3 linked regions of the Astyanax mexicanus genome follow. The protein of the gene in region 2 purifies or fractionates together with the protein of the main gene of each other region. This does not show direct contact. Links are inferred from orthologs where the notes say so. Each region holds a gene or a part of one and is shown on either strand. Other genes may lie near its edges. The genes, in order: kif5aa, kinesin light chain 2 and kif5c.

The links.
Region 1: the proteins of kinesin light chain 2 (region 2) and kif5aa purify together in Homo sapiens (affinity purification with western blotting; 3 studies listed by BioGRID and IntAct, with this or other methods). This does not show direct contact. The link is inferred for Astyanax mexicanus from reciprocal best matches to the Homo sapiens genes KLC2 and KIF5A.
Region 3: the proteins of kinesin light chain 2 (region 2) and kif5c purify together in Homo sapiens (affinity purification with western blotting; 3 studies listed by BioGRID and IntAct, with this or other methods). This does not show direct contact. The link is inferred for Astyanax mexicanus from reciprocal best matches to the Homo sapiens genes KLC2 and KIF5C.

The regions. Positions count from the first base shown.
Region 1 is NC_064419.1:9,769,050-9,779,595, forward strand, and holds the start of kif5aa (kinesin family member 5Aa), read right to left. Parts: upstream 4,939-10,546; 5' UTR 4,725-4,938; intron 4,595-4,724; 5' UTR 4,556-4,594; coding exon 4,427-4,555; intron 1-4,426. UniProt on the Homo sapiens protein: Microtubule-dependent motor required for slow axonal transport of neurofilament proteins (NFH, NFM and NFL). Can induce formation of neurite-like membrane protrusions in non-neuronal cells in a ZFYVE27-dependent manner.
Region 2 is NC_064415.1:13,524,970-13,535,358, reverse strand, and holds the start of kinesin light chain 2, read right to left. Parts: upstream 3,923-10,389; 5' UTR 3,834-3,922; intron 2,683-3,833; exon of another isoform or gene 2,500-2,682; intron 1-2,499. UniProt on the Homo sapiens protein: Kinesin is a microtubule-associated force-producing protein that plays a role in organelle transport. The light chain functions in coupling of cargo to the heavy chain or in the modulation of its ATPase activity.
Region 3 is NC_064418.1:15,257,642-15,267,925, reverse strand, and holds the start of kif5c (kinesin heavy chain), read right to left. Parts: upstream 4,106-10,284; 5' UTR 3,770-4,105; coding exon 3,644-3,769; intron 1-3,643. UniProt on the Homo sapiens protein: Microtubule-associated force-producing protein that may play a role in organelle transport. Has ATPase activity. Involved in synaptic transmission. Mediates dendritic trafficking of mRNAs.

The sequences.
Region 1 (10,546 bases), on a different chromosome or scaffold from region 2:
CCCTCTATAAACCAATGTCATGCTTCTCATGCTTCTCTATACCACTAATCCAGGTTGATGGAGGTACAGGTACATATACATTTTTATGAACTGGCATTTAAAAGAGTCTATGTATATTTAAAAAAAACTATACACCTAAAAACATACTATTCCTACGCTCATAACTCAAACTTAATCAGTTTCCCATTTTGCATCATTTTTAACAACAGCAACCTATACAAGAGTTTTATACAAGACTTACGCAGGAGGTGTAAGTCTCTTAAAAAGACAGAAATAATGAGAAAAACATTGTATCTTTACTGCAATCATGTAATATAACAAATGTACTGTAATTCTATTCAATTCAGTAATTTATATATATATTTTATATTTTTTACCAAATTGAAAACCTCTGGAATATAATCAAGAGGAAGATGGAGGATCACAAGCCATCAAACCAAACTGAACTGCTTGAAAAGGCATACAGTTATCCAAAAGCAGTGTGTAAGACTGGTGGAGGAGAACATGCCAAGATGCATGAAAACTATGATTAAAAACCAGGGTTATTCCACCAAATATTGATTTTTGAACTCTTAAAACTTTATGAATATGAACTGTTTTTATTTTTTTTTTTGCATTTTTTAGGTCTGAAAGCTCAGAATCTTTTTGGTCATTTCAGCCATTTATCATTTTCTGCAAATAAATGCTCTAAATGACAGTATTTTTATTTGGAATTTGGAAGAAATGTTGTCTGTAGTTTATAGAAAAAAATAACAATGTTCATTTTACTCAAACATAAACCTATAAATGGCAAAATCAGAGAAACTGATTCAGAAACTGAAGTGGTCTTTTAATTTTTTTTCCAGAGCCGTATGTTTCATGCAAATAAATAAAACACATTTTACACATTGACACACATTTTATTTACATGCATTAATTAAAATTATAGATTGGTAGTTATTAACATTTATCTGCATTTTCATATTTAATAGTCTCATGCAGACAGCAGGCCTGTCTGGAAGGCTGTTGATGTCTGCTAATGCACTGCAGTGAGGTATCAGCAGACAACACAGAATTTACTTGTGCAGCATCATCCTCCCCCCCTCTCCCGGACCTCCCACTCCTTATGCTCCCACCCCAGGTCTGTTATTAGCCTGTGACTGCTGCTGATGGGCTCAGGCAGAGTCTGGATGCTAAAAATTGCTCATCCCTAACAAGGAGACATAATCAGATGTGATTGTGACCATGGATGACTACATATATTCGTATCTCTGTGAAAACACTGCTTATTTTACATTATATATGACTTATATGGGCTTATATATATATGTATCTCGCAGTACGTGTAGCCTGTGTCTTGCAGAACAAAAGAACCCACAGGTCAGCTCGGTCATTTAAGCACGATCTTAGTTTTTATCTTTAAAGAGACGCCAAATTCTAGTTAGTCAAAAAGCTGCTTGTTGGGCTCTGAGTGGTCCAGTAGACTAAGGTGCTGCCATTATGATCAGGAGATCGCTGGTTTGAATCCCGGTCATGCAGCTTGCCATTAGCAGCCAGAGTCTGAGAGAGCAAAATTATCCTTGCTCTTTCTGGGTGGGTAGATAGCGCTCTCTCTCTTCCCACATCACTCCAAAAGTGATGTCAGTCAGCACAGGAGTCTGTTAGCTGATGTATCAGAGCTGAGTCACTGCGCTTTCCTCCGAGTGCGCTGTGATGCTACATGGTAATGCTACATCAGCAGCAGCAATTTAAAAAGAGGCGGTAGCTGACTTTACATGTGTCGGAAGAGGCATGTGCTAGTCTTTACCCTCACCCTGGTGTTTGGCATTACTAGTGATAGGTGTCTGCAGCTGAGTGGGTGGGATAATCAACACAGCTATATTTGGGAGAAAAGCGAGATGATTTTTAAAAACAAAACCCTGCTTGTTAAGCCACATGTAAATTTCTTGATATAGCTTATTCTAGAATTGTAGGTACATTTCAATTATGAAAAGATTTAACTCATTAATCAACTCTGTTATCACTCTTTAAATATGAAACAGGGTTGTTCATGATTGTTCTTAATTATTTTCATGTTTTAATATTAATTATTTAAATAAATAAGGAAATGAAGAAAAATACTGAATGAGAAGGTGTGTCTCTTTTGACAGGTGCTGTATCTCTCTGACTATCATACATTTTATACGTTTCCAACCAGAGAAAGTGACATTAGGTGCAGGTCACAGGCCTTTATTAGAATGGTTTGCAGATTTTATGCAATTTTATGTCAGAGATAACAAAGCTGGAATGTTATTTATATACTACTGCAATAAATAAATAAATAAATAAATAAATATATATGTGTGTGTGTGAAAAGTTACTTTATTTTAGGAATTCAGTTGAAAATGTGAAACTTTTATTATATATATATATATATATATATATATATATATATGTATTACACATAGAGTGATCTATTTTAAGCATTTATTTATTTTACTGTTGATGATTATGACTTACAGCCAATGAAAACTTAAAAATCATTGTCTCAGGAAATTAGAATAATATATATGAGTTTCACATTATGAACTGAATTACTGAAATAAAGTAGTAAAATAGTTCTCAATGATATTCTAATTTTTTGAGATCTTTTTGTGCATATTTTTGTGTATATATTTTTAAGCATATCATGGATATCAACAGTGCTTAAAAAACACTGGCCCAACTTTATGCAATTTAATTGAATACATTTCATCCAATACATTTTATTTTGAATAAAAGTATTTGTACTTGATTGTTCTTGTTTTGAAGTGTTTGTATTTTTTAAAGAGATTATTACTATTTTTTGTAAATTTCACAATATTATCTGTATAGAAGGGCTGAGTGATATTGTAAAAAAAAATGATCTCCATATTCTTCAAATACATGGGTAATTCTTGAATACTATTACAATTTTTAGTTCTTACATCCATTTTTTTTACAAAAAGTATGCAGCTGCCTTTAACCTTATATGCAGCTTTTATATTAAACACAGTGCAAAGATACTTTACTGAGATTTCATCTGACAGCTTCTATATGTAAAAATGTACAAGCTCAATTATCTATTAATTATCTATCTATCATTAAAAAGGTTATTTGATTAATCAAATGGATTCAAAACTGTCTATAAATACTGTGAAATCATAGTTTTGCCATATCGCCCCAGCCTTATTTATAGCAGTTAGTAGCGTTCAATTTTTTTAATGTAAAAAACAAATGGACTGTATTAATCAGGAGATGGAGATGGTCAATAATGTGTGGTTGAGATTCATTTAACTATTATTTTGTATGTAAATACAAATGCCTAAAAAACATACATCAACAGTATTGATGATCCTTGCTCTCTCTGGGTGGGTAGACAGTGCTCTCTTTCTCTCTCCACATCACTCACAAAGTGATGTGGATCAGCACATTGTCTGTTAGTTGATGTATCAGATGTGGGTCACTGTGCTTTCCTCCGAGTGTGCTGTGATGCTACACGGTAATGCTACATCAACAGCATTTTAAAAAGAGGTGGTGGCTGAGTTCACATGTAGGGGGAGTGCAACTGAATGAGTGGTATAATAGATACAGCTAAATTGGTGAAAAATTTAGATAGAAATTTGAAAAACACTATTTAAATAATTAAATAATTAAATAGTCAATAATGAGTGGGTGGGATTCATTTAGATAATATTGTGTATATATGTACACATACAAATGCCTAAACATATATAAATTAACAGTAATTAATAGCAAAAAATGAATGCAATTAATTTATTAGAATTATTATATGACACTGATTTTTTAAAAATCAGATTTATTATAGGGGGAGATGCAAAACCCCCACAGTACCCTCCCTTCAGTTGTAGAATGAACCTGTATATCAGCATCAGCATCTGTAACATCATCATCATAATTAAAAAAAAGAAAAACTAAATACAAAAATAAATCACTGCCCTTTTTCAGGTCTTTTTTTTATCAGTAAACGGATATTTAGGCTGTGGATCTGGAGAACCTGGGTTGATCGATCAGAGGGAAACGTGGCTATAAACAGCCTACGGGCCTACATTAATAAACACTAACGCAGAGCCCAGCAGAGCCCAGCATCTAACCAACCATCTAAACAACCAAGCAGAGAAAGACAAAAACACCCGGATCTACATCACCCCACTGACCGCAGCCTGAGGAAAAAGCTTCTACACAACGAAGGTTAAATGAATGGCTCGGGTACCGATTTACAGCAGGGAGAATAATGATAAACGAGCGGTGATTACGTCATACGGCCCATCCTCAGTATGCCTCAGCATCATCCTCAGCCAACGCCATTTCTCCCGTTCAGTAAACCAGCCTCTTCCTCACAGCCGTTACACTGTATATATTACATCTCTGGGTTAAATTAATCATATTATGTAAAAAAAAAAAAAAGAAGCTAGATAAGCAGCCCTACCCCAACCACGACGGTGTCATCCCCCTGGAAGGTGGGGAGAAATTTATCTCCGCGGTGGATCTCGGCCTGATTCAGAGGGCGAAAGCGGCACAGCACCTTGATGTTGCATTCTGCGGCGGGCTCGGTCATGATGCACACTGAGACTGCACGAGACTGGAGAAAAGCGGGCTGGAATAATAAAACAACAACATTCGCGTTATTAATATATATATATATGATTCAGACTGCATTACAAAAATAAAGGTAAATAAGGCTAATAATAATAAATAAATAAATAAATCTGCCAGTGAAAGCTTACGTTGCGTAAATATGTTATATCCGCCGCTGCGATGCAGAGAGCAGAGCCGCAGATTAAAGGTGGAGCTGCGAAGATAAAAAAAACCCGGTAAATCCGCCGCTGTTCGCCCGCCCGCTCTGCTCTGTTCCGCTGTTGTTCTTGGCGAAGGTGAAGCAGCTCTTGTAGGGCGAAGGATGCTGAGCTGCCTGTAGCCTCCCGGACGGCAGGGCGTGGTCTATCCGCTGCTGTTAAAGCGGTACTCGCATCCGCGCTAGTATAGCTGTGTTTCACTCCCCACCCGCATTCAGACAGACCACGCCCCCCGCGCTGCGATAGGCTGACAGGATCTGTTTTCCCGTAAGAGGAAGAATGACGCGCCCACTGTGTGTTTTTATTTGTTGTTAGAAAGCAGGGGGTTCACTGCAGTTATTCAGCATTTTTTTTTTTTTGCAAATTTGTTTTTTAAATATTTTGTTAGAAAGCAGTGGTTTCACTAAAGTTATTCAGCATTTTTATTTTTGGAATATTTTATTAGAAAGAAGTGGTTTCACTAAAGTTATTCTGAATTTTGATTTGTTCTTTTTTTGTTATCAAGCAGTGGTTTTACCACAGTTATTCAGCATTTTTATTTTTTTGTATTTTGTTGTTAGAAAGCAGTGATTCCACTACAGTTATTCAGAGTTTTTATTTTTGTTAGAAAATTTTTTGGTTTAAAAATGCTAGTTATTTTGCATTTTTATTTTTGTTAAAAAGCAGTGGTTTCACTACAGTTATTCAGCATTTTTTTTGTAAGAAAGCAGTGGTTTTACTACAGTTGTTCAGGATTTTTATTTGTTGTATTTTTTTTATTAGAAAGCAGTGGTTTCATTACAGTTAATTAGCATTTTTATTTTTTATTAGAAAGCAGGGGTTTCCCTACAGTTATTCAGAGTTTTTATTTTTTATTAGAAAGTAGGGGTTTACATATAGTTATTCAGCATTTTTATTTTTTATTCGAAAGCAGGTGTTTCCGTACAGTTATTCAGCATTTTTATTTTTTATTAGAAAGCAGTGGTTTCACTAGTTATTCAGTGTTTTTATTTTTGTTAGAAATCAGTGGTTTCACTAGTTATTTAGCAATTTAATTTTGGTTAGAGAGCAGTTGTTTCACTACAGTTATTCAGCATTTTTCTATTTTTTGTTAGAAAGTAGTAGTTTTATTATAGTTCAGCATTTTTATTTGTTGTATTTTTTATTATAAAGCAGTGGTTTTACTACAGTTGTTCAGCGTTATTTTTTTGTTAAATAAGTCACAAACAGAAGGATGAGAGGATGGACATAAATGCAGATAATATCAATTAAATGAAATAAAATCAAGCAAGATAAACAAAAGCAAAACAGAAAACACCGGAAATGCAAAAACACAATAAACAACACTGGGATAACTATTTAGTTAGACAAGTACAAAGACTATTCAAAACAATAACACTGGGATCAAATGGCTAGGACGGGGCTAGGGCTGAGAAAGGACAATAACAAAACAGAAAAACAGAGGACAGAAGCACATGGAACCAAAAGAGGAAATAATTCAAGACAGACACAGGCTAAGGTGCAACAGTTTCACTACAGTTATTCAGCATTTTTTTTTGTCTATTTTATTAGAAAGCAGTGGTTTCACTACAATTATTCAGCATTTTTATTATTTCTTAGAAAGCAGTGGTATCACTACAGTTATTCAGCATTTTTATTATTTCTTAGAAAGCAGTGGTATCACTACAGTTATTTAGCATTTTTATTTATTTTTGTTAGAAAACAGTGTTTTCACCACAGTTTTACCGCATTTTTATTTGTTGTTAGACAGCAATGGTTTCACTGCAGTTAATCAGCATTTTTGTTTTTGTTAGAAAGAAGTGGTTTTATTACAATTATTTAACATTTTTTGTTAGAAAGCAGTGTTTTCACTAGAGTTATTTAGCATTTTATTTTTGTTAGAAAGCAGTGTTTTCACTACAGTTCTACTGCATTTTTATTTTTGTTAGAAAGCAGTGTTTTCACTACAGTTATTTAGCATTTTTATTTTTATTTTTTATTTTTTTTGTTAGAAAGCAGTGGTTTCACTACAGTTATTTGGCTTTTTTATGTTTTGGGTAATCTCTTAAAATCTGTACATTATTTGTAGAAAACTGAAAAAATACAGTTACTACTGCCCTATTCATTTCCACGTTGTGTCCTGCGCTGTGATTGGCTTTCCGTCTAGAATTCTAGCCAATCCCAGCACACGAGGCAAAGCCGGTCTGAATACGGGTGGGAAAGAAAACAACATAAATACCCAGCGCTGAAGTTCTCGTTAAAAGACCCTGATTCTGCAGTTCTACAGCAATGACAAAGCACATTGTTTCACAACACAAAACAATCTGGTAATGTTTTAAAATGTTCTTGATATTTAATGCAGATAGAATGTGTACAGCCTATGAACATGCAGATCTGATGCAGTCACTTTGTCTAATTAGGGGCAAGGGGTCTATGGGGTCATTGAGATTATACCCCTGATTCTTACTTTCTCAGACTTTCAGTTCTTTAAACGGTTCTAAAGTGGACGTTTGGTATTGATTAGACTTTAATACAAGTATATCAGCAGCACACTGTCTTATGGATACAGAAAATTGGTGTAAATGTCTGGTTCTTTTAATGCCCTGTAAACATCAAACAGACAGCAGACAGATGGACAGGTAGGTAGGTAGGTACATAGATACTTAATTGTATCCAGTAGCTTCAAACATCATTATCAAGAATACACCGGAAGAATTGATAGATATACAAAATAATTAGGATTATATGAATTAGACGGGGCATATTCCACATATCATTTCATTTACTATTATTTGCATGTGTGTAGGTCCCAAAAACAGTTGCAATTCCATTTATCAGAAGTTCTTTGTTACTGTACAGGAAAAAAAAATGGCTCAACTTAACTCAGTCAATTCATCCTTTTGCATTGACTCCATTAAGTCGTAAATATATACAATTTTAAGTTTATTCAACTTAACAGATTTTTGTTCACACAACAATTATTTAATTTCTTTGGCTCAACAAGCATTTTTAAGTTTTCAGGTTAAAGTTCTCTGAACTCATTTTATTGAGCTTTACTGGCTGGTAAGTTCTTGCAACTTGATAATATTAGTTTTTCTGATTAAAACACAAAATCACTTTAATAATGCTATAGATAAATAATCTCTATTCTGAATGGCTCAGTAAATGTAGAAACCCTCCTTAAAAATTCAGCGTAAATGGGTGGAGCCTAACTACTGTAGGCTGACATCCGAAAGGCAAATTCAGTTTTCATCTGCTCATTTACAAATCATAAAACAATAAAACACAGAATTAGAGAACTGATAAGGGCTGACAAAGTAAAAAAAGAGCTCAACATAGCTGTCACTAAAATCCCCAGACATTGATGTATTCTCCAGTGATGAAAAAATATTGAATAATAATCCACTTTTCTGTCTATGATGCACTCCAAAAAAGGTTCAGCAAATAAAAAAATAAATGTATTTTCTGTTTATTGCAGTGAAGTGTGAAATTTGTTTAGCACTGTTATTTTTACTCCATATAATTTTTATATAACTCCTTTATATAAAAGTTTTTCACAATCATTCATAAGCATTTCTAAACTCATAAAATCAGTGTTACTCTGCCATATTTAGCGCTTTACTGTGCAGACTTTTACTTTTCCATTGCCGTGGCAGGGCTAAACTGCTGTTTGGCTGATGTATGTCTGTTCTGATGCATAATAGGTCTCAATCTGTCTGCAAGAATACATAAAAGAAGAAGACAGATGTTTTCCTTTGCAATGAACACATGGTTTGAAAGGGTTAAAACGTACGTAAAGGGTACTTTTTTGAATGCACTCTAAAACTTAAGGACTGTCCATTTCTACCACTTCTGACACATACAAAATGCAAAAAAATGCATAAACTCAGCTTGTCTATTACCTGCAAAGAATCATTGCCAATAGAAATGGACTCTCTAGAACAGAGAAAAAAGTTTTAGGCAGATCTGGGCTAGAGGGATAAAAACCTCTGGAATGATGATGGTGCTACCTCCAACATTTGGGAGGAGGTGAAATCATACAACATTCTGACCTCACTAATTCAGTTTTTCAAAATGCGATCAAATTATCACAGCAGGGGTCAAAAATCACTGCAAATAAGAGACAGGTACTTATTTGATACTTATTTAACTTAACACTGATTTTGGAGGAAACAATGAATGAACAGGTCCCAAAAGTCCCAAAACTTTTTTTCATATCATCTCTATCCAATGAAAAACAAGCCCCGCCCCATAAACTTATTTTGTAAGCCTGAGTTCGATTGAATTCAAACATTGTTTTAGTAAGTAGTTTATTATAACTCTGCTTTTTGAAAACATTTTTGGGCTGTTTAAATGAGCGAAATCTGTTCAAAATCATGATAGTTAACATTGCAACACTGAAGAAGCATAGACCTGTTATTTAAGAAAAATGTTTATTAGGAACTGATCTTCCTGTCTACTCTAATGTAATAAATAATGTCTAAGAATATAAAACACTTTCTGAACAAACAGTTTTTTTTATTTTAAACATATAGTCTTAGTGCAAAAGACATAAAACAACAATAAGGCTACGGACGGACAAGCGAAGGAGCTCCCATTCGAACCTCGAATTTAAAACACAGTTTGATTTGTTACTTTGCTATATTGTGATTATTCTATAAAATAAAAACAGCTTTATAAAACAGTCCCAGCCTGAGGAAAGTGGTAGGAAATCTGGGCCCGGGTCGGGTTGGGTTTGGGCAAAGAATCTAAGCTTTACGAAGAAGTATCTCAAAAACAGCAACTTTACAAGAGAGAGATAAAACCTTTTTGACTTTCAATGAAAGTCGATGTTAAAACAGTTTATTTCAGGTAATTTAAGACATTTTAACACAGTGTAAAGCACAGTTGGTTTGTTGAAATTATGTAGCAATCTAAAAATCGACAAAAATTAAGCCTTTTTTTCATTGGACAGCGACAATATACTTTATTAAAATTAAACCATTTCATGGAGCTGCTTAAGTAAACTACAATCAATATCAATGATCATTATGCGACTGTAGACAGGAATGAGGTGTAGATGTGTGTTCCTTAATTTCAGGCATGGTTGATTGTAAAAGCTGTGCTTGTGAGTGTGTGTGAGAGAGAGAGGGACTGTAGAGAGGGAAGTAACCGAGTGTCTTATTACCCCTCGTCATCCACCAGCTGAGGCATCCAGCAGCTGTCTGAACTGCTCAACATGATAGACAGACAGACACACATACACAGTGCCCATTTTAGTGACCAATAGAGCCACACTGTACACACACACACACAGCCAGGGAGGAAATTGATAGCCTCAGCCAGTATCTGACCAGTATAATCTGGACTTCTGAGATCAATCTTTAACTCTGATCTGCCAGCTGGATTAAAACCTTGCTCATTTAGCAGGTATGTGTGGCCTACATTGCTTTAATGTTTGTGTGTGTGTGTATGTGTGTGTGTGAGTGTGTAATTGTGTGTGTACATGTTGTGAGTGTGTGTGTGGCTAAAGCAAAGTCAAACCTGAAGTTTCTCTAAAAGTTTTAATGCTGTTTGACAGATTGTCGTAGCTAAGTGAAGATGTGCATTAGATATGTAGATACTCTTATTGTCTGCTGTAGCTCTGCCTGACAGGACTCCCAAATTTAGCCCGGCTGCAGTATACTAGCTTCACTGGCCAGGAATAGAGGTTGTGAACGTGTGTTTGGAGTTCTTATGTGTGAAACTATTCCTTTATTCCTGTTCTCTTTCTTTTATACTACCATCATCATAAC
Region 2 (10,389 bases):
CTGTAAATAATAAACTGGAATAATATATTCTTCACAACAATGGACTGAAATAGAAAACAGTACTGGCAATATGTCATCCTGGAATCATACGTAAAATTGCATTAATCTTTCTCATGAACCATCCCATGAATTTAGACTTTTACAACTTTGAAATAAATTGTATACAAATCAAAATGTTCGTAACATAATCGAAAGTTCTGTAGTAACAAGAATTACATTAAAGCCCTCTAGTTTGCAGCTCTATGCATATTACTAATTATAATTTGTTGTGTGTCATTTTCAATGAAAGAAGACAACATCCTAAAGAAGCTGAGACCCAACACTGAGTTAATATTTAAAAGGGATGGTGGAGTGACAGCTGCTTTGTTATCTACCAAAGACAAAGAGCAGTCCACAACACGGCACACGAAAAAGTAGGACAATGGGAAATGAGTTAGCTGGTTTCTAGGGTGCATCACTGACCTCATTTTAGTGTAAACAATGGAAAAACAAATCTTATCATAAATGTTATTGTTCTTCTGTGTTTATATGAAGTAGTATGTGAAATTTAATGCCTGACTGTCTGTTTATACAATGTAGATTAATGTTTAATGTATTTTCTATTAATATTAAAACGTGCACAGTACAATTAAATGCTTCTTTTTGATATCGCATCTCTGTCCCCTGGAGCAGAGAAGGCCTTGCTGAAGAGCCCAACAGTGGCAAATTTCTTCACCCTACGTTCTGTGATCCATAACTCAGTGCTCTAACCAATGAGCCACCTCTGTCCTCAGAAAATATTAAGAAATAGACTGAAAACTGTCATAAAGCAGGACTGGACCTGGAAATGTTTCATAATCTGGGGCCTCATGTACTAAAGGTGCGTACGCACAAAAACATTGTGTACGCCATATTTCACGCTCACAGCCAGATGTACTAAATGTGACTTGAACGTGAGAAAGTGCGTTCCCCCACGGCACTTTTGTTTCGGGCGTACGCATGTTTATTTTTTTTGTACGTTTGTATTGTTTTTTTGTCATTTGGCGACACTTAGAGGCGATGCATTGAAATTACAACTATTAAGATATCCTTTAGGCACACATTGTAGTAATAAGCCATTAATGGGTAAAATAAAGTAAATTAATCAGACAGTTTCATTGGCTTACAGAAATAATCGTTCAACGTGTTTCCACTTAGCCTAGATTGTATAAACATGGATAAAAGTGCGTGCTGGAGTTGTTGGAGATGGCAGCGTTGCATTATTGGAAAATATTGCTAATAATTGCTAATTTTCCGTGACCATTATGTTTTTTTGGCCCATGATGATGACTGACTTATAAGCCGTTGGTTTCCAAGAGCATAAGAGGATAAGAAAACAAGTTGAGTGCGTGACGGGCGGCTTCTTGGTGAGCAACTGATTTAAAGCATTTAAATGAAACAATTTAATATGCATCTTAGAATAATACATTTAAACTTGGGTAATTATTAGTTATTACGCTATGCGTCTTGCGACACTTTTCTTTCTTGACTTGCATATTCTACTCTAGCATATTATTATTATTATTATTATTATTATTATTATTATTATTATCATCATAACATTATACTCTGCGTAATTGAGGGAGGAGTCGTAGCAGGTGTGATGTTTTCGTGCGCTTGATTTCAAGTTGATTGTGAAGAACTAAGAGAAAGTACGTGGGATTCTGCCTACGCACGGTTTGATAAATCCGGATTTTTTTGTGCGTACGGAACTTTTCAGGTCTCAGCGTACGGAACATTTTAGTAGGAAGTCCACGCAAGTCTTAGTACATGAGGTCCCTGGTCCCTGGATGACGGAAAGCTCAGAAATCAGCCTCTTGCAGTCTAAAATTCAACGTTCATGCACCAGGTGGCGCACACTTAAAACCTCCTCCACCTCCACCACCCCCCACCCCGTGTATTATTCACTGCAATGCAGCAGAGGAGGAAGCCTGTTACTTCCATCAGATGGAGCAGGATGCTGAACTGAGCACCAAACATGCACCACACTACTTTACTTTAAGTGTCCCATAGACTATCTGTGCAGGCTCCAGCATATTTCTCTATCTGATCATATTTTACTAAGACCTAATTAAAGGATGAGTGTATGGATGTGTAGAATTAGATTTAGGATCAATCAAGGTGACCGACAGGACATCACAGGGGCGCCATTCAGCAAAACACTGGACTTTACAAGACTTAATTTGGCTTTTTGTTGGAATTTTCCGTTCCACCTTAAATTTTGCAGTAGTTATACGTTGGCCCCGTGGAGCTTCATAATGTAACCATGCTTGTTTTTTTTTTAAGGTAGAACGGGAACAAAACGAAAATCTATTAAAATTGTAGCTAAATAACAAATTCAAGCCAAATAATCTCAAAGAAAAGTAAAGTAAGATAAAGATAAAGAGCACGTTATAAAACAGTCCAAAAGCAGACTTCAATCAATACACGTGAATGGCGCATCACGAATTCAACAAAATAGCTCAAATAAACAGCACAAACCTTCACGTAGTCTCTGTTCTGGTTTAATTTAAAGAATTAAAATCCACCCAGCTCCAGATTATACAGACTGAGACTGCTGACATCGCATCCAAACAAGAGGAAAGACCCTTTCAAGCTCGTGTTTTTAGCCTAAATGCTAACCTAGCGCTAGACTTCGTCACTGTAGCTGGACAAAGCCTGGCCTGTGTTCTGCCCAGTTGCGCTACACATCTATATGTGCTACCCAGGCGTTCTGCGCATGCGCTGACCCATCGTTTTAAAGAGTTGTATGTGATGATTCTGTTTTTCTTTGGTGTATTATATACAATATGAGCTTAGTACAAACATTGCTTGAGATACTAATAAGTCGTTATTTAGATCCTATGAAGTCATTATTTTGATATACTAGGTCATTTTTCTGAAATCCTATAAAATCATTGATTTGAGATACTGTCATTATTTTGAGATCCAATGAAGTCATTATTTTGAGATCCTATGAAGTCATTATTTTGAGATCCTATGAAGTCATTATTTTGTGATCCTATGAAGTCATTATTTTGAGATCCTATGAAGTCATTATTTTGAGATCCTATGAAGTCATTCTGAAATCCTATGAAGTCATTATTCTGAGATCCTATGAAGTCATTATTTTGAGATCCTATGAAGTCATTATTTTGAGATCCTATGAAGTCATTCTGAAATCCTATGAAGTCATTATTCTGAGATCCTATGAAGTCATTATTTTGAGATACCAGGTCGTTATTTCACGAATGCACGAAAGCAACTTTACATAAAGGAAATAAAACCTTCATTTTCAATGGAAGTCTATATGGAATTTATTTAGGATAATTTTAGAGAATTTCTATTGGTCCATTCATCAAGACATTATGACACAATGTAAGTTTGTGTTAAAATAAAAATCTACAAAAAAACTTTTATATTTTGAGATCTCATTATTTTGACATGCTATCATTATTTTTAAATACTTAGTTTTTATTTGAGATTTGAGTATTTTTAGTATCTCAATATTTACATATATATTTTAAGAGATTACCCACCTCCAGCTAGCTTGCGCGTTTTGACAGGGTGGCACAAATTGACAGAGCAGGTCAGATGCCCGGCTTTGTAGAGTTAGGTTAGCTAAGCTAGCTAACCTAGGTTTGCTATCTGCCAGCCAACCAGTCATCATTTAGCCACGAATTACCTAGATAATATAGAAAATCCCGAATACAGAAGGCTAAACATAGCAATAAGGGCATGAAAATATATTTAAGAACAGTAAATATGAAATGTTTGGCTACATGACCTAATAAATTGTGCGACAGTAACGTTAAACAGACATTTGTTTATCTTACCTTTTTCGCTGAAACACGGGTTCTGACGGAGTTCTGATCGTGTTCTATTGGGTTTTAGTAAAATATAAATCCTTTAAACCCGTGATTAAATATGTTTAAAGGTGAAACAGCCCAGATTCAGACTGAAGCATCGTACCCGTAGCTAAGCAGGCTAAACGTTAACAGCTAACGGACGCGCCGCTCGCTCGCCCGCTGCTGAAATCTATCCGGCTGTACGGCGCCGGTTATCCCTCTCTGAACACGGAGAAATACAGATCAGCTCGCTTCATCAGTCCGTCCGCCCATCCTCGCCCGTTCCCCGGGGTTATCCAGCGCTGGGTGGAGACGGTACCCGCTCCAGAAGCCTCTCCCCGCTGTGTGAGACACTGCCAGCCAGACCCGGGGCTCGCTGCTAGCTGCGGGCGTTTGTCTATATGCCTAATAACCAACCGCCAAGGACAGCCGACGGAGCATGCGCACCGTGGCTGTGCTCCAAATTACGCACTAGTGCCCTGGCTAGAAACGCTAAGCTTGTGTAATCGATGCAGTAACCAAGTACCCTTGTTAGGACACAAGCGCGCATATTAGAGCACAGCCAGCAGATATTTTACAATGTAACGGTTCATTTATGTGGGATATCAAGAACGGTCCGGTTATAATAATAATAATAATAATAATAATAATAATAAGATTTTTTTATAGATTTTGTTTGCACCCTGCAGGCCTGGTAGGTTGGTACATCTCCGGGCATTAAACTCTCCATAACATTTTACACCAAAACCATGAATTGCTTTTTTTCCATTTCAATATAATGAAGAAATGTGTTTTTATCCTTTTCCAGTTTTCGAGTTTTCTATTGCTGCCACTCACAATCTGAATTTCAGGAAAAAAAATCAGATTTTTTCATTATTGCTTCTTGTAAAAAAAAAAAAGGTACAGTCTATATTTGTAAATATCTGAAAATCGAGAGTGTTTGTTAAATTTTCCTAAATATCATATCTGAGGAGCAGCCACAAAAAAACCTAGAAAACTGTATGAAAAGCCCATTTACTTCACTTTACTAAATGCAAAAAAAAAAATGGTTTTACACCCAATTTCCTCTTTCCAAATTTGCCTAAACTGATAAACATTAAACTGACCATAAAAGCACTGCATTCCTACATTTAAATGAATAAATAAATAGACTTAGCTAGAACTTTAATGTGCTTCACCCTTTACACAATCACACACTTCACACAATGCTATTCTGTGGTGGATTCCAGCTTTAGAAACAAAGCTTGTTGAAGCTTTTTTTTAGGATATTGCTTTAAATAAAAGAAAGCTCCTCATAGTAATTCAGACATGCACACTTATTTTCGATAAATTTCGATAAATCCTGAAACTGCTCCTGTAGATGCAGATGTTCCTGTGGACATATGAAGAGAACACTGAAGGCGGAGAACAAATAAGGTGTGTTTATTTAAAAAAAATGAACACTTTCAGTTTATATCCCACACATTACCCCAAAGACAACTGAATCATGAAAAAGCAGTACTACAAAACATGTTGAATAAAAAAAAAATAACAATAAAAGAACTTCATATTACAAGCACTTCTTAAGATATGTACAAGCGTTGTTGATTCTTTATATAGGCAAAAGGCAAACGGCTAAGGACTGCTAAAACAAACAAGTGCATGTGCAAAAATACTCTTTTCATCCACAATCTCAGACTCTCCCTCTGTAACCACAGGCTTTTGTGCCAAATATGAAAGAGTGCTATTCTACCCCACCATCAGCTGTGCCTTGGGGTTTAGCTTTAGCCAAAATGCAGAGCCAAACACCAAAGCTTGTGGAATTCAAGAACAATGTTCTCTCTTTATTAACATAAAACTCCAATAGTGAGACCCTTAGAACGACCTGATTCACTAAAGCAACTGATATGTTAAAGTCAAGTTTTGGGATTATGAGAAATTTTACTTTTTATTAAGTCCTGACTGATATAGATATTGATTGATGGCTGGTAATATTTTTCTTTGACCTGCAGTTTAATCATTTTCTGTAAATACCTATGAATGTTTGGGTTGTGGCATGGCAGGATTCAAATTAGTTATATCCTAAAAACAGGGAAAATATATATTTTTAAGAAAAATATATGAACTAATTTATAGAAATGAAAATCATGTTTAAAGAATAGAAAAAAATTATGACAGACAAGAGTTGTGTGATATAATAAATAAATATAATATTGCGATATTTAAAGACATTTTTGATAGATTTTATCACAATGTTTTGACAGACAAAATACATCAACACAAGCAGATTCTTAAAAACTGCTTCTCAAATACTCTCTTATTCACAGCACATATCCATCATGTTGCCCACCTCTATAATATAACAGGGTCATATTTCATCTATTCATCTATTGTTTAATATCACCCGTTCCCAGCAGGGGTATATGATATGGACAAAAGTGTGATATGTGATAACTCTGTTGGAAATTGATGTGAAACAATGTGACTTAAGATCCTGAATAATTTAAGCTCATCAAAGGATTTTCATTAATAATCAGCAGGTTATAAATGTAGATAACTGATTATCTTCACTGCACCCCTGAAACAGATCAAGAGAGAAAAATGCTCCTTTCCCTCCGAGTTTCTTGTCTTATTGCGCATAAAACACGTTCACTCGAATTACAGAAATCGTGAGCACGAATTAAAGAACTCGTGAGCACGAATTACAGAAATCGTTCACTCGAATTACAGAAATCGTGAGCACGAATTAAAGAACTCGTGAGCACGAATTAAAGAAATCGTGAGCACGATTTGCAAATCGTTCACTCGAATTAAAGAAAACATGAGCACGAACTGCTATATCGTTCACTCGATTTAATAATTTTTTTAATCCATGGCCCCTCCCGGGCTCCGTATTATAATAATAGTGTAGCCTAAGGATATTAAAATTGCATTTTCTCTAATATTAACTAAAAAACCACTTGGGTCTGTGTGTGTGTGTGTGTTTTCTCACAGACCACTTCAGTTTCTGAATTAGTTTCTCTGATTTAGCTATTTACAGGTCTATGAATGTTGTTGTTTTATTCTATTCTATCTAACTACAGACAACATTTTTACCCAAATTCCAATTTTTTTTTTATTAAGAGATTTGCAGAAAATGAGAAATGGCTGAAATAACAAAAATGATACTGAGCTTTCAGACCTTAAATAATGCAAAGAATTAATATTAATAAACGACAATTGTTGTCCATATATTATTCAAGCGTAACATACACTGTTTTTTATATTATATACATATACATATATGAGCCCTTGCACCTAATGGGTGCCAGCTGCTTGTCAGGCAGTTCAGCTCCAATAGACGGCGTCAGTCGATGCGGCATCTATGCATGGCTGGATTACTGACCGGGCCAGTGGGGCCAGCCAGAGGCCGAAAACTTTTTGCGATGCCTATCAACATTTATGGTAGAATATATTTTTATTACAGAGGGCCCTCCATTTTAAGGATCCTCTGACTATTAGAGATTTGACCCCAGGGCCTCTTGGCGGCCCTAGCCATGCTTTTGGGGCTCCTAGCCATGCTTTTGGGCCCTTTTTGAGGCGTTGTGGCACTGCTCTGACTTCGACTTCTGGCTATTAGGGGTCCTAGGAAAGAGGGGGGCATATTTTTAGAGGGCCCTGGTTATGAGAGCCCCTACCAGGGGGACCTAGAGAAGAGCAGGGCATACCATTAGAGGGCCCTTGATCACGAGGGCTCCTGCTATGGGGCCCTTGACTTCCATAGAAGTCGTTTACCATGCCTCCTTGACTTTCTAGGGACCTAAAAATTCAGGCCCTTACTTAATGTTTATGAATTTGTATTGTTTCAAAATTATTATGTTCAATTTCTCTTAAGTGCAGAGACACAAATTAATCTAGCAATTTTGCAATTATTTAAATTTAAGACAAAATTGCTTGTCTGATGAATGCTATCTTTGACACCGATTAAATTGAGTGAATTTGGCCAAGGGTGTGATTTCACTTATGTGAATACAACAAGCCATTTGACTAGTTTCACGTTTCCCCTTTAATAAACAACAATAAAGAGATAATGAAACAGCAAGTGGTTTTGTTGTAGTAGCTGTGGCTGCGTGTGCGTGTAACCCTGATATTTTGTTTGAGGATTATTTATTGGAAAACATATTTTATTCAGCTTGTTATTCAATGACTATTCAATCACAGTTTGACATGACTTGACATGTTTCAAGGCAGTGTGAAGGGGTCTTGACAATAATTAAACTTGATTTAATATCATTAACACAGCATTTTTAATATACTCAAAACCTTTCCCCTGTCTCCCTATCCATGCCTCTCTCTCTCTCTCTCTCTCTCTCTCTCTCACTCTCTCAATTCAATTCAATTCAATTCAAGGTGCTTTATTGGCATGACAAATAGCACTACATTTGTGTTGCCAAAGCCTGAGTTATACAGATTTAACAGTAAAGTAAAAGTATAGAACTGATTCAGGGATTAACAATTTCTAGAATGTAGAACAGAACAGATTCTACATTTTAAAACAATGCAAAAATTAAATAAATATATAAAGATAAAATAGATAATAATAAATAAATAATAATAAAGCATAATATAATTAGTGAAAGAAGTAATGAGACAAATTAACTAAAATTGTTTGTGTGTGTGTGTGTGTGTGTGTGTATAGTGTGCGTGTGCATTTGCGTGTGTGTGTGTGTGTTAATGTGATATTTAGTATGATATGGTCACTCTCTGTCTCTCTCTCGGTGACAGGCTGTGATGTATTGGGCTGCAAGAGTGCAGCTCTCTCTTTTCTCTCCTAACAGATAGGGGAGTTTCTCTGGGTCTGTAAGGCGGGTAAACTGGGGGTGTTTATTACTGAATTTTTTGTAGAATTCTTTGCAAATCTCAGTGTATTTGGGGCATTCTGTCAGAAAGTGCAGCTCTGTCTCTGGTGTGTTTTGGTTGCACAGCTGGCATGTTCTGTTTTCCGGAGGCACCCAGGATCTCTTGTGCCGGCCGGAGTCTGTACCTGGTCAAGGTGGACCTCATTTTCAGATCAGTCACTGTGCTCAGGTACTCCCCCACAGTGTACTGTCTCTTTAGGGCCAAATAGCACTGCATCTTACTCTGGGTTTTAGTTTGAGTTACCCAATAATGCAGGTACGCTTCTCTCAGATTAGCTGTAACTTGGTTGGACCAGCTGAGTGAGGGGATTGTTGTCTTTGCTCAACTCTTGGTACTGCAGAGCTTTATAATGATGTGAGTGGGGGTCGCTGTGTTTCAGGTGTTTCCAGAATTTGATCGCCCGTTTCTGTATTTTTAAGAGGAGAGGATATTGGCCTAATTCTGCTCTGCATGCGTTGTTGGTGGTGTGTCGGTGCACCTTTAGAATGTTTTTACAGAATTCTGTATGCAGAGTCTCAAATGGGTGTTTGTCCCATTTTTCAAATTGTTGATTTGTAAGCGGACCCCACACTTCACTGCCATAAAGGGCGATGGGTTCAATTACAGATTCAAATATTTTAATCCATATTCTGATTGTAATTTCTGCAAAGATTTGTCGTTTTATGGCGTAGAAAGCTCTGTGTGCTTTTTCTCTCAGTTCACCCACTGCCTGATGAAAATTCCCTGTAGAACTGATTTTAATACCTAAATAGTTATAGTTAGAGGAGTGATTGATCACCTCTTTTCCTAACCTAAATGTGTGTTGTGATCCCTGAGATCTGGATCTTTTTTGAAATACTAAAGTATTTGTCTTTTTTAGGTTTACTGCCAGGGCCCAGGTCTGGCAGTACTGCTCCAGCAGGTCCAGGTTCTGCTGTAGACCCTGCTCTGTGGGGGACAGCAGGACCAGGTCGTCTGCGTAGAGCAGGAATTTGATCTCTGAGTCGTGCAGAGTGAGACCGGGAGCTGTAGATCGTTGTAATATTTTTGCCAATTCGTTAATATAAACATTAAAAAGTGTTGGACTCAGGCTGCAGCCCTGTCTCACGCCGCGCTCCTGAGAGATGGAGTTTGTTTGTTTGTTGCCAATTTTTATTCCGCATCTGTTTCCTGCGTACATTGATTTAATCAGATCATATGTTTTACCCCCTACACCGCTCTCTAGCAGAGTGTATAATAATCCAGGATGCCAAATAGAATCAAACGCCTTTTTGAAATCAATAAAACATGCAAAAATTTTGGATTTATTTTGGGTAACATATTTATCAATTAGGGTGTGTAGGGTGTAAATATGATCAGTGGTGCGGTAATTTGGTAGGAATCCAATCTGACTTCTACTCAAGACATTGTGTTTCATAAGGAAGTTTAAAAGTCTAGAATTTAAGATGCTGCACATCAACTTCCCCAGATTACTGTTCACACAGATGCCTCGGTAATTATTAGGGTCGAATTTATCTCCATTTTTAAAGATTGGTGTTATTAGTCCATAGTTCCAGATTTCAGGGAAGTACCCTACACTCAGAACTAAATTGAACAGCTTTATTATGGCCAATTGAAATTTTGAACTTGTGTATTTTAGCATCTCATTTAGGATGCCGTCAGGCCCTGATGCCTTGTTTGGTTTTAG
Region 3 (10,284 bases), on a different chromosome or scaffold from region 2:
AAATAAATCCAGCCTATACCAGCCGGCATTGGGCGGTGTCACGCCCTTGCCCTGTTTTCCCTGTGTTTCTCGTTTCCCTGTGTGTTCCCCAGTAATTTTCCACTCCCCTGTGTTCATTTGTAACTCCGCCCCTCATTAATTAGTCCCCAGGTGTTACCTGTTCCCTCTCCCGCCTTGTGAGCTCCTTTGTCGTCAGTGTTAGTTTGTCGGTTCTTGTGCGTGTTATGCATCAGTCTCGGCAGCGTATTTGTTCTGTTCATTATTCAGTTTGTACTCAGATCCTGTGTTGGTTTACTTGGTTTGTTTTCTGTTTAATAAATTACTTGCCCTGCTCTCCTCATCCGTTCTTTCACGTAGCTTTACAGGCAGAAGGCAGTATACACCCTGAACAGGCTGCCAATCCATCAGGTAAATTGAAAACTCTAAATTGCCTAGAAAAAATTGAATACTCTAAATTGATCTGGTGTGTATGTGTAAGTGTGTGTGTAAATGTATGTATCACTGTGCCCAGATATGGATTGGCATTCTGTTCTGAGTAATTGCTGCAGTGGTCTAGGTGGACGGTTGTTTCCGGTTGAGAGTACACTGTGCGCTATTGGCTGCCGCTTCTCACCGGTGTGTGAATGAGTGCCAAGTATAAAATGGTTGTGTAAAACGTGTAAATTGTAAAGTGCCCTTGGGTTTCTAGAAAGGTGCTACAAAAGTGTAACTACAATTTATTCACAAAAAACAGTTCTAATGGCATTCATTCACAATAGAGGCCACAACTAGACATTTCAAAATGAATGAGAGAAAGATGGAGCAAGACCTTTTAAGTTACATACATGTGTAATATTGGATATTGACATCTGCCCTGAATTTACATACAGTGCACCCTTAATCTGAACAAGTAGTGGCTCATTTGTCTTGTATACTACAAAATAAAAAAAATCTGATTGTAGTCCTTTTTATTGGAAATTTGTGCTTAGTTATACAGAAAACTGTAAAATCCTGTAATACTCTGGGCAAGAATGAACATTTATTGGCTGAAATAAGCACTGTCCCTGATTCAGCCTGAAATTCACTTTGCTGGTCTTAAAATGAGATTACAGACTGTGTAGAAGAAGAGAACACAGCCAGGATTAGGCTGAATAATTACAACACAGAAAATGAACCTTCATTAGGGGTTAATTTTAGACGTGCATATTAAATTATGCATTAAGGTTAATCATTCATTGATGTTTTTCACATCCAGGCACATGACACATTGTAGAAAAAAAACAGCAAATACATTAGGGGTTAAAAGGGGGCATTACTTTATCCATTATTCATATAGCATTACTTAATATAAAAAGGTACACAGTGTTTTTTTATTGTGTGGTGATACAGTGCAATTTACTGTAAAACTAGTAAAAAAGTGTGAAAGCCAAGATCTTGATGGAGCTTAGACCAGAAATAAACATCCATTTCACTAAACTGCTGGAACAATATATAAAACCATTTTTGGTAACTATAAAGACTAGCAAAGAGGAACAGTAACCACATATATATATATTGTTATTGCTATTGCACCAAATATATATTTTACTTTATAATTAGGAACTTGTTTTTTTTACATTATTTGAGGTCTGATAGCTCTGCATTTTTTGTTATTTTAGCCATTTCTCATTTTCTGCAAATAAATGCTCTAAATTACAATATTTCTATTTGGAATTTGGGAGAAATGTTGTTTTTAGTTTATAAAAGAAAACAACAATGTTCAGTTTTTTTTTCTTTTATTGTTGATTATTACAGCTTACAGTCAATAAAAACCCAAAAATAAGTGTTTCAGAAAATCAGAATATTATGAAAAACCGATTGGTACTTTTGGCAGTGTGCTGGAAAAAATCCGCATCTCCATAAAAGTTATCAGCAGAGGGAAGCATGAAGTGCTGTAAGATTTTCTGGGAAAACAAAACTGCACTGACTTTAGACTTGATATAATAGAGTGGACCAACACCAGCAAATCACAGATGACAATATGCTTAAAATTAAATACTAATTAATTGACGAATTTAATATAGATTATTTACTCATGACAATCTATTTAATGTCACAATATATTGTGTGTTATACAATATGGCACACCCCAATGAAAAATATTAAGATTTTATATTTTATGATTAAGCTGGTTGACCAGCTAAGTTCCTGACCAGTATTGGTTTTGTTTGTGTTTGAAGGTTTAGCTGATGACCAGCATGACCCACATCAACATGCTGGTCGAGCCTGAGCTGGTCATGCTGGTTTTTCAGTAGATCATGAATTACTTTTTAGATATTTTGATTTAACATAAATATTTATATGTTTATTGATCACTGTCCTCATTTACCAATCTTTATAGTAAGGAAAAATATTTAATTATAATTTAAAATTATATATTTTCCCCCATTCAATGAGGTGTTGATGTCTGAGCTCCATCATGAGCTCCATCAGCATCTTGGCTTTCACACAAAAGCCTGTAGGATGTATGTAGACTGTGTTTGTGTAGCCTATTTAAAGCAACACACATCATACAAGACTAAAGGACATAATCCATTAATGATCCATTTACACATACAGTTTACAGTATTTTAGTTTACAGTATTAAACAACATGTACTGAATCGGGCTATATATAATAAGCATATAACAGGCATTACCAGCTTTAAAATAAACACTACAGCTAAATGATGTTATTTGTTACTGCAATATAAGCCATAGAGATAGCAACACTGCTAATGGCCAAAATTATTAATTTAGCATTCTAACTTATATCTAACATTCTTTCTAGACCTGTCACATTTTGTTTTATATTTGTTTTGAATATATGAGTTATTAAGAAGAAAAACTGCATTAACCAAATAAATAAAATATATTTAAAAGATACAAAATATAAAATACATATAAATAAAATATACATGATTACAAGTATTATTGTAATTTTAACATTGTCTTATGTCAATGATAATAAAATAGCATAATAATCAGACTGATTTAAAGTGCAATAAACATAAATTTTAATTAAAAGGACTGATATATACTATATACAATATATTTTTCGATTTATTTATGCTAAGTAATAATAATAATAATAATAATAATAATAATAATAATAATATGGAGAGTATACTGTAGATTTATTCTAATCTTGTTTAAAACTGTAACATAATTCTCTATGTGTAAATGGATCATTATATGTATCTTAAATTATGCATTGTTGTATGATTATACTACTGGGACTAGTAAATATCTCTGTATGCTGAGTATATTAATATATATATATTAAATGGATAATTATTATATGTGTCTTGGTCCTCTTGCATGATGTGTGCTTCTTACAATAGTATAATGATTAGTCATTATGACTGAAAAATAAAAAATGAATAAATACATTTATACATATATATATATATATATATATGTATGTGTGTGTGTGTTTGTGTGTATAGCAGCTATAGCACTGTAAGTTCACCAGAAGGTGATGAACACTGTCAACCTGTTATATCAACACCACAAATCTCTACTGGGCTGAATATGGCTGAGCCATATTCTTTCTTTATTCTTATGAAAAATAAAAGTATAGCTATTGTTTTAACATATTAAGCTTTAAACGTTAGATTTAGTCTGTTAAACCAAATTAGACTTACCGTGACAACCACCGTGTCTTCCCCCTTAAATTTGGGTATATATTTGTCTCCTCTGTTGATTTCCGACTCGTTGAGTGGCCTGAACCGGCACATCACCTTCACCCCGCACTCAGCCGCATCCACCATGGCGAAACCCGACTGAAAAACGAGCTTTATATCCAGAAAAAGTTGAAGAACTTAAAGCCTGTAAAGCAGCTCAGCTACACATCTCCGTTCACCGCTAGCTGCTGTTGCTGCTGTTGTTGTTTGCTGCCGAATACCCTTCTAATATCCCTCTTTCTAATGTTGTAAACTGTCTCTACACACGTTTAAACCAGGTCTGTGTGTTTAAACTGCAGTAAAATGAGGTAAAATGACTAATAAATAAATAAAACCTCTTTTAAACGTCCCCTGTTCTGCGGTCAGATGCACTGAGGTAAAGACTGCAGTCGCTGCATCGCCCCTCTTGCAGCAGCATCAGCACCAAAAGCGGCGTTTTTCCTCAGCGCGCCTGTTTTCGGCGAAATCCCGCCCCCGTTGCGTTGTGATTGGCTGGTGGGATCCTAAACCCGTGCTGGGATTGGCGAGACTGTCCGGCGAGATCTCAGCTTTGTCTGAAAGGTAAGACACGCTGCCCATTTAAACATGATTCTGAGGCAGGAAGAGACCAGGCCAAGTCTAAATAATGTTGATGATGGAAAAACAATCTTTTAACAATATTAATTTAACGTTATTAAACGTTGAATTAACGGTAATTGTTCCATCTCTAATGCAATTAAACAAATCTCGGACATCAGAATTTATTTATTTGTGTCCATTCATTTTATGTTATTAGTAAAATATGATTTAAAAAAATAAAGCATTAAATTAATAATATGATTGTAACTAAGATTGTTTTATGTCACTGTCACGGGTGTGATGATAATACAATTGCAAAATAATCAGACATTTTCACAAGTGCCACAAACTGTTGATTATTTGATATATATATTTAGGCAACCAAAAATGTATGTTTATTTCATATTCTCAGTTGGTGTTAAAATTCTGACATTAAATCAATATTTATTTAAAGGCTTTGAATGGTTGAGGCTCTGTAGCAAAAAAAAATAATGTAATAAATATAACACAAACAAGATATACATATTTAACATAAGTAAAATTTAATACAAACAGTACAAATAAAACCATAACTTCGAATTAATGTTGAATCAATGTAAACAGAATGTGCAAAAATAAATAATTTCTGATATTTTGTTATATAGGAACAGTTCATATCAAGCAGTTTGCTGGATTTAATACATTGATAAACTCAGAATGTGTCTTTTCCTTTTGATTCATACACAATCCCATTCAGAAGGCAGTGTAGTGAGAAAAATCTCTTTGTGTCCAAATCAGAAGGAAGAAAAAGTCTTGTCATTGCCAAAGTAATAACAACTGACTATTGGCTGTTAGCTCTTATTATGCAAAAGTGGATCAAAAATAACCTGGTGAGGTTGTTTTCCTTTGTTTCTTTATTTATTGTTTTTTTCATATTGGAAACATTCCTCGGGAAAAGTGTTACTGATTTACTGCCATTTTTTAAAATTGCTTTTTATCCTTTTTACAAAAATTCTTTGTTTTGTTTTACGACCCCAATCTTTCATAGGTGGATCTAAAATGACAATTGATTCTTATCAGCTGTGACTGTAGACCACACAGAATATATTATAAATATCAGCCCTTAAGAAGAGTAATGTACAAAGGTCACAGAGGTTTCATTTATTGCTACTATCTAATTATAATTATAAGCTAGCTAATATTACTGTATTTACTGTGTGTGTGTGTGTGTGTGTGTGTTAAGGAGTATGTGTTTACTATTTTCTGACACACAATTTTATTATTTTTTAAGTTTGCAAAAGTTATTATCTGGCTAATGAAGCTAGACAGACACGCAGACACAGACAGACAGACATGCAGACTATGCATCTATCTATCTGTCTGTCTGTCTGTCTGTCTGTCTGTCTGTGTCTGCATGTCTTTCTAGCTTGGTTAGCCAGATAATTATTAATTTAGCACATTGAGATTTCTTTGAACTGTAAAGTGCATTACAAATAAAATGTATTATTATTATAATTAGTTTTGCAAACTTAAAAATAGACAAATGATACCTAGGTAGGTAGGTAAGTGATAGATAGATAGATAGATAGATAGATAGATAGATAGATAGATAGATAGATAGATAGATAGATAGATAGATAGATAGATAGATACAGTTGTGGTCAAAAGTTTACATACACTTGTAAAAAAACATAATGTTATGGCTGTCTTGAGTTTTCAATAAGTTCTACAACTCTTATTTTTCTGTGATAGAGTGATCGGAACACATACATGTTTGTCACAAAAAACAGTCATAAAATTTGGTTCTTTCATAAATTTATTATGGGTCTGCTGAAAATGTCACCAAATCTGCTGGGTCAAAAATATACATACAGCAACAAAATTTGTCAATTTTGGTGATGTAGCGAGTTGTGTCAATCAAATTAGCTTCATGTCATGGCCTCTTCACTTCTTGTAAGTGATTCTGATTGACTACAGCTGTTGACTTCTCATGAGCCCATTTAAATAGGGCTCATTTGACCCAGTGATTAGACTCAGCTACAAAAGCTACAATGGGAAAGTCAAAGGAACTCAGTGTGGATCTGAAAAAGCGAATTATTGACTTGAACAAGTCAGGGAAGTCACTTGGAGCCATTTCAAAGCAGCTACAGGTCCCAAGAGCAACTGTGCAGACAATTATACGCAAGTATAAAGTGCATGGAACAGTTGTGTCACTGCCACGATCAGGAAGAAAACGCAAGCTATCACATGCTGCCGAGAGGAGATTGGTCAGGATGGTCAAGAGTCAACCAAGAATCACCAAGAAGCAGGTCTGCAAGGATTTGGAAGCTGATGGAACACAGGTGTCAGTCTCCACAGTCAAGCGTGTTTTACATCGCCATGGACTGAGAGGCTGCCGTGCAAGAAAGAAGCCCTTGCTCCAGAAAAGGCACCTTAAGACTCGGCTGAAGTTTGCTGCTGATCACATGGACAAAGATAAAACCTTCTGGAGGAAAGTTCTCTGGTCAGACGAAACAAAAATTGAGCTGTTTGGCCACAACACCCAGCAATATGTTTGGAGGAGAAAAGGTGAGGCCTTTAATCCCAGGAACACCATGCCTACTGTCAAGCATGGTGGTGGTAGTATTATGCTCTGGGGATGTTTTGCTGCCAGTGGAACTGGTTCTTTGCAGAAAGTAAATGGGATAATGAAGAAGGAGGATTACCTCCAAATTCTGCAGGAAAACTTAAAACCATCAGCCCGAAGGTTGGGTCTTGGGCGCAGTTGGGTGTTCCAACAAGACAATGACCCAAAACACACATCAAAAGTGGTAAAGGAATGGCTAAACCAGGCTAGAATTAAGGTTTTAGAATGGCCTTCCCAAAGTCCTGACTTAAACCCCATTGAGAACATGTGGACAGTGCTAAAGAAACGGGTTCATGCAAGAAAACCATCACATTTAGCTGAACTGCACCAATTCTGTCAAGAAGAGTGGTCAAACATTCGACCTGAAGCTTGCCAGGAGCTTGTGGATGGCTACCAAAAGCGCCTAGTTGCCGTGAAAATGGCCAAGGGACATGTAACCAAATACTAATGTTGCTGTATGTATATTTTTGACCCAGCAGATTTGGTGACATTTTCAGCAGACCCATAATAAATTTATGAAAGAACCAAATTTTATGACTGTTTTTTGTGACAAACATGTATGTGTTCCGATCACTCTATCACAGAAAAATAAGAGTTGTAGAACTTATTGAAAACTCAAGACAGCCATAACATTATGTTTTTTTACAAGTGTATGTAAACTTTTGACCACAACTGTAGATAGATAGATAGATAGATAGATAGATAGATAGATAGATAGATAGATAGATAGATAGATAGATAGATAGTCTCATGCATCTAAGGGTTAATAAAACAGAATCCTACATCACTGAACTTTAATTCAGACATGCCTTCCTGCCTCAAGTAAGCAGCATTTCTCACATTTCAGACACAAAGCTTTACTACAATGCCTTCTAAGTGAGATAGTGTGGACAGCAAGGCATCAAGTCAGCAAGCCATCAATGTCTTGTGTTTCAGACAGATCCCTATGACTCAATCCAGCGCAACACCCCCCCCTTGCTGGTGTATTGATGCTGTTGACTTACTATCCCACAGTGCCCCCAAACGAGAGGATGCAGGTACTGCACTTTGATTTATAGGTAAGAGAACAATTGCACATTGACTCCAAACAGAGGTGGACAATATGGCCAAAAAATCTATCACAATAATAAGACTAAATTAATCACAGTACGTTATCATAAAGTGTATTGACATATGAGCATAATATCTCATTGAAACCCCAAAGGGACAACATCTAAAGTGGGTTTAATTAAGTGAAATTGTAAACTTAAGTAAACTTACTTTAATTTATTTATATTTTACTCATGCATTTTTTTGTATTATTAATCAATACAGACACGTCAAGTGTTTAAACACACCTTCTCATTCAATGTTTTATTTTTATTTTTTTACAAAAATGTTAAAAACCATATTTAAAGTATCACACTGATTAAACCACAGTTAAATACATTTAAACAGTCAGTGTGGGTAGGTGAATAGTATTAACTATTAATTACCGTCTTTTTCATAATATAAGGTATACTATACAATTATATCGGATTGTAGCCTGCGCGATTACTGAAGTAAAACATTCTATGTGGGACAAACCGCTAGTTAATATCTGTGTGGCTTATTGGAACGCTCAGGGTATAAAGTGTAGTCAGGTTTGTGAGACTTTAAATAGTCTGTGATCTAAGAAGTGTTTTTGATTGTGGTGACTAAGAGGAAAAAAATCGAGAAAATAATTTAGACTTGTAGAACAAAACACGTTAAAACCATTAAAATCATTTTTACCTGTCAATGACGAGGAAAACGAGCAAAACCTTTAAATCAGGTGGTTGAATTTAATGGTTGTGCAGGGGTTGATGGGTAATCTGATCTCTACTGCAGTTTTCTGGTGCTTTCACAGAAACACGCCTCCATGGGTTGAGAGTGGAAGGTAGGAGTAAGAAAGGAAGCTCAGTAAACACATTTACTAGAGAAACCCAACTGTTTTGGAGGTTTAGGGGCTGCTGATGTGGGCCTGAAACAAAAACGGCTTTTTGCCAATGAAATAGAATGCAGTCTGGACTAGTGAAAAGGAAATGTTGGGAATCAGAGGGAAATCTACACAAAATATTACATACTACAGTTTACTGTATGGATAGTTTATCCACAAATGTAAGCTTATAAACACAAATTGGATCATGGATACAAGTAAAAATACATTTGATGGAATATGTAAATATGACTATGGAGTTTTCCCCCAACGTATGCACCTAAGCCCAACTGAGACAAGAAAGCGATAAAAAGAAACATAATTTCCAAATAAATCTCAAGAAACATTCAGAATGTGATGTGATTTATTATTGAGCAAACATTTCTTAAATAAATGGAATATATATAAATTAAATTATTGCAGTGATGTATTTGGCATGACAATGCTGGAGTATTTCTTGGCAGCAGTTAATAAACCATCAATAATAAACCAGCTCTTGTCCTACAGTCCAGGTAGGGGCGCTGACTCTGTAACTGTGGTTCCAGTAACTCCAGAGAAGTGGAGAAGCAGAGAATCCATCCAGAGCTGTTTTATGGAGAGACTACCTACTATCTATAGATTCCAGTTATATCAGAAAATTACTGATTACCACTAGAGGGAGCCCGCGCGCAAGCAGAAAATGAATGGGGATGAATGGATCTAAACGGCTAAAAATACATATGGAAGCGAGTAACTAATTTAGGATTAGGTATTGTGCTAAACATACAAAGAAAACGTACATATAAACGTACATATTATTGTATGCTTGCTTTTCTACAGCAAACAGGTTTATACAGTAAAGGAGCTATCATCACTGCTACAGTGTGCATTGAGACTGGCCGGTGAGCTGGAGTGTTGGAGTTACAGAAGTAAGTATACTTGGCTATTTATACTCTTACTCTATTCTTACATTCTTGTTGTACACTTTCTAAACAAGGTTGTATATTCACTTTGGGCAGCATTCTGTATTTTTTTAAAGAAAAAAATCTCAGATAATGTACCACTAGTGGTACGCAAACCATTACAGGGTGGTACACCAGATGAATATTTAATACAGGCACAAAAAATATATTAATGATTGAAGTCCAAATAGTTTTTACCTCTAATTGTCACGTAAGCTCTGTTTGTGTTTAGTGCTTAACTTGTTAGATCCTGTGTGTAAGCTTTTACATTTCAGTTCTTTACAGTTTCAAAGGTCCTACAATTGACCCTTGTGGATCTCCACTCACAGATTCATAAAAGTTCTGTATGGGTAATAATAGCAAATCAAATTGACTAGAGTATATTCTAGCAACACAGTACTGAAACTAAGTACTGGAATATACACAGTACTGGAACTTTTCAAAAACTTACATGCACTCACACACCTCATACCTGCACTACTGCTTATACTTGCGCTGTCATACCCACTTTAATTCCCCCCACAACTGTGACATTTAAAGAACTTGTTCACTTTTACCAGCC